3 linked regions of the Saccharomyces cerevisiae S288C genome follow. Changing the gene in region 3 together with the main gene of any one other region gives a genetic interaction. Each region holds a gene or a part of one and is shown on either strand. Other genes may lie near its edges.

Region 1 (3,689 bases), on a different chromosome or scaffold from region 3:
GATCTCACAATTCATCACCAACAAATGGCTTATCACAAGCAAATGGTACTGTGAGGATTCCAAACGCTACCACTGAAAACTCTAAGGACAAACAGAACGAATTTTTCAAAAAGGGTTACACTTTAGCGAATGTAAAAGATGATGAAGAACAAGAAGGAATAGTAAGTTCGAGCTCCGCAGATTCGCTACTCTCTCATGGTAACGAGCCTCCGCGTTATGACGAAATAGTGCCTTTGATGAGTGATGAAGAATGAATTTTTTCGTTTTTTATTTTTTTTTGAATTATTCTACGATAATTATATATATAGAGCCACTGCATGTTTTACTCCCTTTTTGTTGACTACATGCTATTTAATTAGGTTAGGTTATAAATCTCTTTATTATTGTTTCTTATAACATAAACATTATTTTTCTTCTTCAACTAATCAATTCAATATGCACTATGAATGATAATTCAGATGCGCAGAACACCTCTTGCCGAATTGACACCAGCAGAGCTTAACATCCTCAAACCTGTTGCACCGAATGGGAAATATGAAATAGCATAATAAATGACGGCAACTAATTCAAGAAGAGCACATGTAATAGTCAGCACCGTGTTCTTGGAAAAGGCTGCGAAATAAATCGTCATGAAGCATGTGGCGAAAAAGAACATCGAAAAAGGCAGCCTTTCCCTTGCAGTCAAATGTTTTAAGTACGCGAGTGGTCCCATAAGTACCCCAAACGCAAGAACAAATAGTAGGGACCCCATTGTCCATAGTAAACCAAACTTTCTTGGTTTAGCGGCTAGAACGGGGAAAAGGAAAGTACAAAGAGTGAAACAGGCTGTTGCACCCAAAAGAAAACAGACAAAAAGTACCATTCTTTCCGTTCTTGACAATTGGAACCACGACGGCTCCTGGTCTTGCACCAAGTCCTGTCTAGATACAGGCAACGTCTGATATATATCCTGGGCCCTGGTATTGAGAGAATCCGCCCAGCTTGAGAACAATGTCTTCGCAGATTCATTAAAACCCTGCGAGTTCTGCTGTCTTGTTTGATTCCATCGATTCAATGAGTCACGGAGACTATTGACCTGGTCAGAAGGTGGTTCCTCGCTCATATTCTCCACACTTGTTCTTTTTTTTTACCAGCAAAAAAAAAAAACGCAACTGCAGACAATACAGGTAATCTAAGTCCTACTCTAAACTACCGAACGCAATTAGAATGCAAATTTATTCAATCTTCTTCCTATTTCAGTATAGTACAAGTCTTGACCAATACTCCCTCTTCATTACAATCGCCTTTTGCCGGGTCACGATTGCGGGCCGTTCCGCGGGATGTGACTCTTCGCAAGTTACTTTTGAAATAATAAAGCCATGGTGATTAGAAAAGCCTTCTTATGAGCAACAGAAACTAACAATTGTACTACTCGGTCCGGACAGTAGGATCTCCAATATTACTGCAGGTTAGTACATTATTTTTTACTCGCAGTTGCTATTTTGGCTAGAGGCTGCACGGAATCATCAAGGAATTTTTCACAATCCGAATTTCTGTCTTACGTGAGCATATATAAGATAACAAAAACGACATTACTGCATTCACATTACTTAGTTGACAAGTATCCTTTAATAGAATACTCTTATTTTTTGTCAGGCGAACCTACTTCTTAAATAAGTGAAGAATGATGAACAATAACGAAAGTGAGGCTGAGAACCAACGTCTACTGGACGAATTAATGAACCAGACAAAAGTCCTCCAGGAAACTTTAGATTTTTCGTTAGTGACACCCACTCCACACCACAATGATGATTACAAGATACACGGAAGTGCCTACCCAGGTGGTGAGACTCCTGCCCAACAGCATGAAAAACTCTCATACATCAATACGCACAACTCTAACGATAATAATAACTTAATGGGCAGTCAAGCGAGGTCCAATTCACAAACTCCTACAGCTTCGACCATATATGAGGAAGCAGAATCGCAATCGTCTTACCTGGATGATATGTTTAGAACAAGCCAAGGCGGTAGACCTGTCACTCAAAATTCCATATCTTCCATAGGGCAGGGTCCCTTGAGATCATCTTATTCTATGGCTTACGACTCACCTGTGGATAGAGCAATGAATACTCCATTACAGCAACAAGAAGGCTTAAAAGCTGAGTTACCACATGACTTTTTATTTCAGCATGGCACCGATGACACAATGTATAACTTAACTGATGATTTGAGCTCCTCTTTATCTTCTAGCATCAATTCTGATATGATGACACCAAACACATATTCATCATCATTTTCTTATAATCCACAAAGCTTGGGCCCAGCATCCGTATCTTCCACATATTCCCCAAAGGTAAGATCACCATCATCGTCATTTCGTGCAGGAAGTTTCCTTTCATCTTCTTTTAGGCATGGTAGCATAAACACACCCAGAACAAGACACACTTCAATAAGTAGCAATATGACTGAAAATATAGGACCTGGAAGTGTTCCAAAGATTTTAGGCGGGTTAACTTCTGATGAGAAACTGAGGCGCAAAAGAGAGTTTCATAATGCCGTCGAAAGGAGAAGAAGAGAATTAATAAAGCAAAAGATAAAAGAACTCGGCCAGTTGGTTCCACCATCTTTATTGAATTACGATGACCTAGGTAAACAAATCAAACCAAATAAGGGTATCATTTTGGATAGAACGGTCGAATATTTACAATACCTGGCCGAAATTTTAGAAATACAAGCACGAAAAAAGAAGGCGTTATTGGCGAAGATAAAAGAATTGGAAGAGAAGAAAAGTTCTGTCGCAGCATTATCTCCTTTTACCAATAACCACCATGCCAGTTCGGGGCAAAATAATAGCGAGAATAGTGAGGAAAGAATTATAGATATTAGATCTGTCCCAAATGCTTTGATGAATGAACAAAATAGTAAGGCTGAATTGCACAATTGGGAGCCACCGTTATATGATTCGGTCGGTAACCACAATCATGCTGGCACTATGGAGAGTCATCCACATACAAACATTCATGAAGAATTAAAGGAGTTCTTATCAGGCGATTTGATTGAAGCCGAAGATAATGCAAAATTAATGTTTGGAGATGACAACTCTAATCCAGCTGACTATCTTTTAGAATTTGGTTCGGGGTAGTTTATGGTCTTATTAGCGGGAAAAAATTAAATTTGAAAAAGGTCAGGTAAGCAAAAGCAGTAAAACTTCAATATCTATGTTTGTTCCTTCTATTGGGAGAACGTTAATCGCTTCCGTACTCGCAAGATAATGTAATGAAAAAATTAGGAATTGCAACAAAATAAAGCGGAATATTAGTAACGCTTACATGCAACGTTTTGAAAAGAGTGGAAGAGATAGGCAAGCAGAATTATATGTAACAAAATCTAAAATTATTCACTATTATTCTTGGTTATGTCTAATACTTTGGATATATTAATTCTTTAGAATTTTATGTATTCTAAATGCAATTATGTCAATAAAACCCATGTAATTTTCTTTCATGATATGATTTAAATGCATTAGTATTATCAGGCATATTGTTATATATGAAGAAGGTTAGTTATAAGTAGTGTATAATATATACATGTGCTGCCCGCAATTGGGTATGATATGATTTTTAGTGCTTTATAATTTGGCGTCGCAAGAATGTAGATCACTTGTATCAATGGAAAGCTTACTTGGGTAACTCATTTATTGAGAAAAT
Region 2 (4,891 bases), on a different chromosome or scaffold from region 3:
AGAATTTGGATGAGCTATCTAGAAGAAATATTGATGTTATGCATCTACAGCATATTTTAACCAATCACCTAGCTTTTGCAAACGTCCAGCAGACGCCATTATTCCAATTACAGCAGGTGAACTCACAAATTTCTGAGCTTTCAAGAGATGAATTACGTTCGATTTTGAGCGACGCGAAATGTGTCGGTGTCATTTACCGTCATGGTAAGGACGCCGCCGGCAAACCATTGGACGAAGAGTATTTCTACGATTTAGAAAACGATGATGATTACGAGAGAAGAAACTTGGTGAGTTCATTAAAAGGTGGAAGGACAGGCTTAAGATCTTGTAGAAGGACACATAAACAATATTTTTGGAAAAAGCCAGCAAAATAGAACATTTTATTCCATCGGATATATGATAAGAACAAGAAAATAAAACATCAAGTGCCTATATATCCCATCTGAGTACGTAAAAATTTTGTAAGAATACAGTTATGTAGTAAAATAAAAGTAAATAAAGCGCTAAAACAAAAAAATAACTTCAAATAAAGTCATAAAAGTTAATGCAATGAAATCACATGCCCTCATGAAGCATGCTTTTTTAAAAAATCTTGCATTTCGTCAGTGTCAATGTCTTGTGGGTCTTCAGAAGATATGGCCTGTAACAAACCATCAAGCATATTGTCAACTTTATTTTCGTCGATTTTCAAACATAAAGATAACACTCTTCTAAATTTATTCTCTAATTCTGATTGTTTGGTGCTGATTGTATCCAATACATTGGTTAGGTGTTTATCATTCCGCTTGTATGCATTTATTCTTGCCTTCAATAAGACCGTTGGTGGAAGCATCGATTGGATTTTTTCTGCGGGAAGTTGATTTCGTATCTGTTCCATTATCTGCTCTTTCGACTCCGCTTCTAATAGTTTGGAAATATCGCCTTCATAATTCTTTTGTAATTTATCCTCCAAGAAATCTGAAAGGAACTCTACTTTGAAGGGTTCATCTGCATCATATTCGCTAGAGTCCCAATCAATACCTGAACTTTCATCTGCAATTATTCCTAGCTTTTTGCTCTCTTCCCTAAAACTTTCCTCTTCTTCTTCAATTCCTGCTTTTAAATTGGTCAATTGCTCTTGCATTAGTGAGTATTCATCTTTCAATTGCTTCACATTTGCTAGTTGTTCTCTAGAATTAGCTAATTCTTCTCGCTGTTCGTTCAATTCCTTGTGTAGTTTTTCTAATTTCTCATTATATTGCACTGTTTCATTCTCATAATCTTTCGAGATTGAATTCAGTAAATTTTGGACATCATTAATTAACGAAGTTGTTTCAGGTGGGTTTTTCAACAGTTGAGACCTTATTTTTTTGGCCTTTCCATTTTTTTGACCGTCGTAATCACCCTTAGAGACCATCTTCGAGTTTTCGTCACCGCCGTTCGTATTTTGTAATTTTGAAGTACCTGCCCCAAAATCCACGGGTCTCAACCCTGATTTGTTTGCAATAAATGGGTCAGCACCGTAATCTAATAAAGCGTCTACTATTGAAATGTTTCCCAATCTTGCTGCAATGTTCAAGCAAGTATCGCCATTAGAGTCCTGCGCATTGAGCATGTTTGCTATTATCCATTTCAGGTCCAAATTTTCTAGTATAGAGTCCTTTCTTTCCCCATTTTTGTCATTCGGTTTGCTTTCTTTTTCGTTAGTACCACTTTGAATGGGTCTATTTTGTTTCTTGACAATCCATCCCATTAAAATATCTAAATAATATTTCGCAGCTGCTGAACAGCCAGTCATACCAGACGTAATAATGATATGGTGCAAAATTGTTCTATTCATTGAGTCTTCCAAAATTAAACATGGATATAAATAATCTAGAAGTGCCTCAAAAGTACCAGAGTCGTAATTATTTACTGATTTGACAGCTTTCACTAGGCATGACTCCCCCATATTATCACCATATAATCTGTTTGAACCATGCTTAACCAGGTGTTTCACTAATTCCAGGTTTGCTATTGAAGTCAGCCAATGTAATGGTGTGTTTCCATGCTCATCTACAGGAATATTAAGATTTAATTGAGTATTAGGAAAAGCGTCGTTTACCTCTTGCAAAAGGCTATCAAATGATACGTGCTGTTGTTGTTGGTTTGAGCTCCCCCCTTCTGAATTTCTATTACTGCTGTCATTATTAAGGGATGTAGGCATTTCTTGAATTTCTGGAAATAACAACCGTTGTAAGAATGCCTCTAGTTTCATCTTCTGTTCATTATCATTTACAACTGGAGAAGGTAGTGCTTTCATGATTTTCAGTGGACTGCTTAAAAAGTCAGAAGTTAGGTCATGAGTGAATGTTATGATAGGTCCAGCGGTTCTGTCATTGTCATCAGTGCCATTATTTTCATTGTCGCCGCTAGGGCCCTTATTAATATCATCGTTAGGCTTGCCTCTGGCAGTATTCGGAGTGGAGTCACTCTCAGCATCTATTACAGAGGTATCTATTTTTAGTTTTTTTAAAGGAGAGCCTAATTCTCTGTGTGCATCAGAATCCAGGCTCATATCTTGTAAATTATTAATCCTCTTTGAGCTGATATTATCCTTAGAATTTTCACTTTTGGTCTTGTTTTCTGGTAGTTTCGAATGGCTGGGATCTTCTTCATCCTGATCTGTTTCAGGCTCCTCAAATTCGAATGCATCCTGGAACAAACCGAATAAATTTAGCATGTTTAATAATTGTAAACATTTTTCCAGCTCTATCCATAACTCACCTCGGTCGTCTGTATTTACAGCAATTCCATAATGTGCCAGTAATTTATTTCTTTCCTCATCAGTGGGGAAACTATCGGGGTTGGTCTCGTTAATATTCCCCGTGTCATGATATTGCTGCAAAATGGGCAGAAAATGTTTCAGGAGGAAATGGCCAGTCTCCGAGTCTCTAGTGAGTGTCAAAGGGATCTCATTGTGAGGTCCTAAGTATCGTACCACTTCTTCCAACGCCATCCTCTCGAGAATTATACTGTGTTCCCCTTTATTATTCTTTTTTTTTTAGCTATTGCTTAGTTCATATTGATGTTTCTCAATCGTGTTTTTTGTTGTTTTTTTTTATTATTATGAAATCGTTGGAGAAGGAAACTAAAAAAAAAAACTAAGATTTGGTGAATGATCTTATCCAAACGGTCCAGATGAAGACAAAAAAAGGAACAATAAGCTTTCTTATTTTATTTGATTCAATTTTTAGAAACTAATTGTCCACATTTTAAATAAATTCTATGGCTAGTAACGCTGCAAGGGTTGTCGCTACAGCGAAGGATTTTGACAAAGTTGGGTTAGGGATCATCGGATACTATCTTCAGTTATATGCGGTGGAATTGATACTGAGTGAAGAAGATCGGTCGCAAGAGATGACCGCACTAGCGACAGAACTTCTTGATACTATTGAAGCGTTTAAGAAGGAGATTGGCGGCGAGAGTGAAGCAGAAGACAGTGACAAAAGCTTACACGTTATGAACACGCTAATACATGATCAAGAAAAAGCCAAAATTTATATGCTAAATTTTACAATGTCGTTGTATAACGAGAAACTGAAACAGCTAAAAGATGGTCCCTGGGATGTTATGTTAAAAAGATCACTTTGGTGTTGTATTGATTTATTTTCATGCATTTTACACCTGTGGAAGGAAAATATAAGTGAAACGAGTACAAATTCATTACAAAAACGAATTAAGTATTGCAAAATTTATTTGAGTAAATTGGCAAAGGGTGAAATTGGTTCCAGCGACGAGAAAACGTTAGATTATGCAGATTTTGCGGATGATAGCGAGGAGATTAAGGATGAAGATGTTGATCACCAGACAAGCGATTTGGAAAACAATAATAATGATAAAGTCGAAGGCCTAGCCCCAAAAGACCAAACAACATCATACGAGCCTGTGGATGAGGTACCTGAATTTATTGATGATGCCGATAGCGTAAACGAAGAAGAACAGACCGTCGACAAGAACGAAGATGCAATAACAAAAGACGAACAACAAGTTGTGAAGAAAGAAGTGGATCTTACGCGCCCTTCTGCACCATCAGAACCTGCTGCAGCAGAGCATAAATCGTATACAAAGGATGAGTTGACAAAAATTATGGACAGGGCCAGTAAAATAGAGCAAATTCAAAAACTTGCCAAATACGCCATAAGCGCATTGAATTATGAAGACCTGCCCACCGCCAAAGATGAGTTAACTAAGGCGTTGGATCTGTTAAATTCTATTTGAATAAGATAAAGTTTGGTTTGTTGATCCGTTGAAGGAGGTATATATTAATATTAGTAGTTACGTATTAAATGTTAGAAAGGAAAAGGAATCCTGTATAATGCAAAATGAAATCGATACAAATTTGATTTGAGAAAAATGAGTCTATATCAAGAATATGATGGTATTGCGTCCCTGCATCAAATACGGTATAATGTACATGTTGACTTGTGTTGAGCAAATGAAAACATGGGAGGTTGAAGGCAGAAAAAAGTCCAAAAGGAAAAAAGCTTAGAACTTCAAAGTCTTAGGCTTTTCCCATGGGTATTCTTGGTTTGTGAAATGGCCATAAGAAGCGGTTGGCAAGTAGATTGGTCTAGCTAAGTCCAACTCCTTGACCAATACACCAGGTCTCAAGTCAAAGTTCTTGCTGATAATGTCGATAATTTCTTCGTCAGACTTGGTCGCAGTACCATAGGTGTCAACGTGCAAGGACAATGGTTCCGCAATACCGATGGCATAAGAAAATTGAACTTGAACTCTCTTACATAAACCAGCGGCAACTAGGGACTTGGCAACCCATCTAGCGGCATAAGCGGCAGAACGATCAACCTTAGAGTAGTCCTTACCGGAGAAGGCACCACCACCGACGGATGAGGCACCACCGTAAGCGTCG
Region 3 (2,900 bases):
AAATTCGCGAACAGGAATAATAATAGGAACGAAAACAGTTCCAAAGTCAAAGATGCGAGTGGATTCAGACTGAGAGTTATTCAAACCGATGGGCACAAAACTAAAAAGACAGACCCTGATTATGAAGTGACAATTGATGGACCCTTAAGGAAGATTGAGCCTTATTTTTTCACTTATAAAACTTTCTGTAAGGAGAGGTGGAGAGATCGTAAGTTGGTGGATGTATTCGTGAGCGAATTCAGGGATCGAGAGCCCAGCTATTATTCCAAAACCATTGCAGAGGGAAAAGTATACTTAAACGATGAACCTGCAAACCTTGATACCATCATTCGTGACGGTGATCTGATCACACATAAAGTACATCGACATGAACCGCCAGTCACATCTAAACCAATAGATATTGTGTTTGAAGACGAAGATATCCTTGTCATTGATAAACCCAGCAGTATTCCAGTGCACCCAACGGGCAGATACAGATTCAATACCATTACAAAAATGCTAGAAAGACAGCTAGGTTATTCAGTACATCCATGTAATAGACTAGACAAGCCAACTAGTGGACTAATGTTTTTAGCCAAGACTCCATTAGGTGCAGATAGAATGGGAGACCAAATGAAAGCGAGGGAAGTCACCAAAGAATACGTAGCCCGCGTGAAGGGCGAGTTCCCTATAGGTATAGTAGAGGTAGATAAGCCTGTCAGATCTGTTAACCCTAAAGTTGCACTAAACGCTGTTTGCGAGATGAGCGATGAAAACGCTAAACATGCCAAGACCGTTTTCCAAAGGGTTAGCTATGATGGACAGACGAGTATTGTAAAGTGTAAACCATTGACAGGTAGAACTCACCAAATAAGAGTCCATTTGCAGTACTTGGGATTTCCCATAGCAAATGACCCTATATACTCGAACCCAGATATCTGGGGTCCAGATTTGGGCCGCGGTGGACTTCAAAACTATGATGACATCGTTCTGAAACTAGACGCTATTGGCAAGACTAATCCTGCAGAGAGCTGGATTCATCCTCATAGCGAGGGTGAATACTTGCTTGGCCGTCAGTGCGAAGAATGCGAGGCTGAAATGTACACAGATCCCGGTACTAATGATCTCGACCTCTGGCTGCATGCCTTCCGGTACGAGTCATTGGAAAGAAATTCGGATACGCAAAAACCTCTCTGGAGTTATAGAACAAAATACCCTGAATGGGCCTTAGAGCCACATCGCCGATATATGGAAATGGCCGTTAAGGAAGCTGGTAAGTGTGGCCCGACAAAGACTGCTTTTAGTGTTGGTGCCGTTCTTGTTCATGGAACTCAAGTACTTGCCACAGGATATTCAAGAGAGCTACCAGGAAACACTCATGCAGAACAGTGTGCTTTGATAAAGTACTCGCAGTTACACCCGAACTGTCCCACTATAGTCCCTATGGGAACAGTGCTCTATACAACCATGGAACCCTGTTCCTTCAGGCTAAGTGGCAATGAGCCTTGCTGCGATAGAATCCTGGCCACCCAAGGTGCCATTGGTACTGTCTTCGTGGGGGTTATGGAGCCCGATACATTTGTTAAAAACAATACAAGTTTGAACAAGCTGGAATCGCACGGTGTGAACTACATACAAATACCAGGCTACGAGGAGGAGTGCACCATCATTGCCTTCAAAGGCCACGATAATAGTGACGACAAAGCTTAGACTATTTAGCATATATATTATCATGTAATCTTACATCATATCTACAATAACCACTCATTACTGGAAACGGAAAAAGGCGCCACCGAAAATTTTGAGTAAAAAGAATGGAATTAACTTCAACCACAACACAGACAAAAAACACTAGATAGTGAACCAAAAGAAAGCACAACACCAAACATGAGCAGCATTCCAGCTGGCACTGATCCTGGGTCCTGCGGTGCTAATTTCAAGAATGACCGCAAGCGCAGAGATAAGATCAACGACCGTATTCAAGAACTATTGAGTATCATTCCCAAAGACTTCTTTAGAGATTATTACGGCAATTCTGGTAGCAATGACACGTTAAGTGAATCCACTCCCGGTGCGCTTGGGTTGTCCAGCAAGGCCAAAGGTACAGGGACCAAGGACGGAAAGCCCAACAAGGGCCAAATTCTCACACAGGCGGTAGAGTACATATCACATCTACAAAATCAAGTGGACACACAGAACAGAGAGGAGGTGGAACTGATGGTGAAGGCCACTCAGTTGGCCAAGCAGACAGGCACCATTGTCAACGATATAAACTTAGAGAACACCAGCGCTGAAGTCGCCCTGTCCAGGATTGGCGTGGGACCGCTGGCCGCAACAAATGATGACTCAGTAAGACCGCCAGCAAAGAGGTTGAGCTCCTTCGAGTACGGAGGGTATGGTGAGTACGGTAATGGTAGCTAAAAGTACTTCTGACTCTCACTATTGCTATGTTGTGATAACCCTCGTTGGTAGTGATACGAACACTTCTCTTCTTTTTTGTTGTTTTTGTGAGAAAAAAAAATCTAAATGAACATATTGCTAATGCAACGGATAGTTAGTTTTATTTTGGTGGTTAGTCAAGGGCGATACTTTCATGTTGGAGAGCTGACCATGACAATGTTGAAAAGACCTCAAGAAGAAGAGTCAGATAATAATGCTACGAAGAAGCTGAAAACGAGATTAACGTACCCTTGTATCCTCGGGAAGGATAAGGTGACGGGCAAATTCATCTTTCCTGCAATCACTAAAGATGATGTTATGAATGCAAGACTGTTTTTGAAGGACAACGATTTGAAAACTTTTTTAGAATATTTTTTGCCAGTGGAAGTCAACTCGATCTACATTTATTTCATGATAAAATTGCTGGGATTCGACGTCAAAGATAAAGAACTATTTATGGCGTTAAACTCTAATATCACTTC

What was found. A genetic interaction does not mean that the proteins touch.
Region 1: mutations in RTG1 (region 3) and RTG3 together harm fitness less than expected from each alone (positive genetic interaction), as found in Saccharomyces cerevisiae (6 studies listed by BioGRID).
Region 2: mutations in RTG1 (region 3) and SWI6 together harm fitness less than expected from each alone (positive genetic interaction), as found in Saccharomyces cerevisiae (3 studies listed by BioGRID, with this or other methods).

The regions. Positions count from the first base shown.
Region 1 is NC_001134.8:21,511-25,199, reverse strand, and holds RTG3 (Rtg3p), read left to right. Parts: upstream 1-1,663; coding exon 1,664-3,124; downstream 3,125-3,689. Other genes in the region: ECM21 (Ecm21p), read left to right, coding at 1-254; SFT2 (Sft2p), read right to left, coding at 455-1,102. UniProt on the Saccharomyces cerevisiae protein: Transcription factor that regulates CIT2 gene expression. Binds to two identical sites oriented as inverted repeats 28 bp apart in a regulatory upstream activation sequence element (UASR) in the CIT2 promoter. The core binding site is 5'-GGTCAC-3'.
Region 2 is NC_001144.5:516,026-520,916, reverse strand, and holds SWI6 (transcriptional regulator SWI6), read right to left. Parts: upstream 2,978-4,891; coding exon 566-2,977; downstream 1-565. Other genes in the region: TOS4 (Tos4p), read left to right, coding at 1-374; VTA1 (Vta1p), read left to right, coding at 3,247-4,239; methionine adenosyltransferase SAM1, read right to left, coding at 4,507-4,891. UniProt on the Saccharomyces cerevisiae protein: Part of a complex involved in cell-cycle-dependent transcription. SWI4 and SWI6 are required for formation of the cell-cycle box factor-DNA complex. The repeated element in the upstream region of HO (5'-CACGAAAA-3') is called the cell cycle box (CCB).
Region 3 is NC_001147.6:201,485-204,384, reverse strand, and holds RTG1 (Rtg1p), read left to right. Parts: upstream 1-1,866; coding exon 1,867-2,400; downstream 2,401-2,900. Other genes in the region: bifunctional DRAP deaminase/tRNA pseudouridine synthase RIB2, read left to right, coding at 1-1,689; histone deacetylase HST1, read left to right, coding at 2,506-2,900. UniProt on the Saccharomyces cerevisiae protein: Required for a novel path of interorganelle communication between mitochondria, peroxisomes and the nucleus, thereby maintaining a functional metabolic interaction between the tricarboxylic acid and glyoxylate cycles.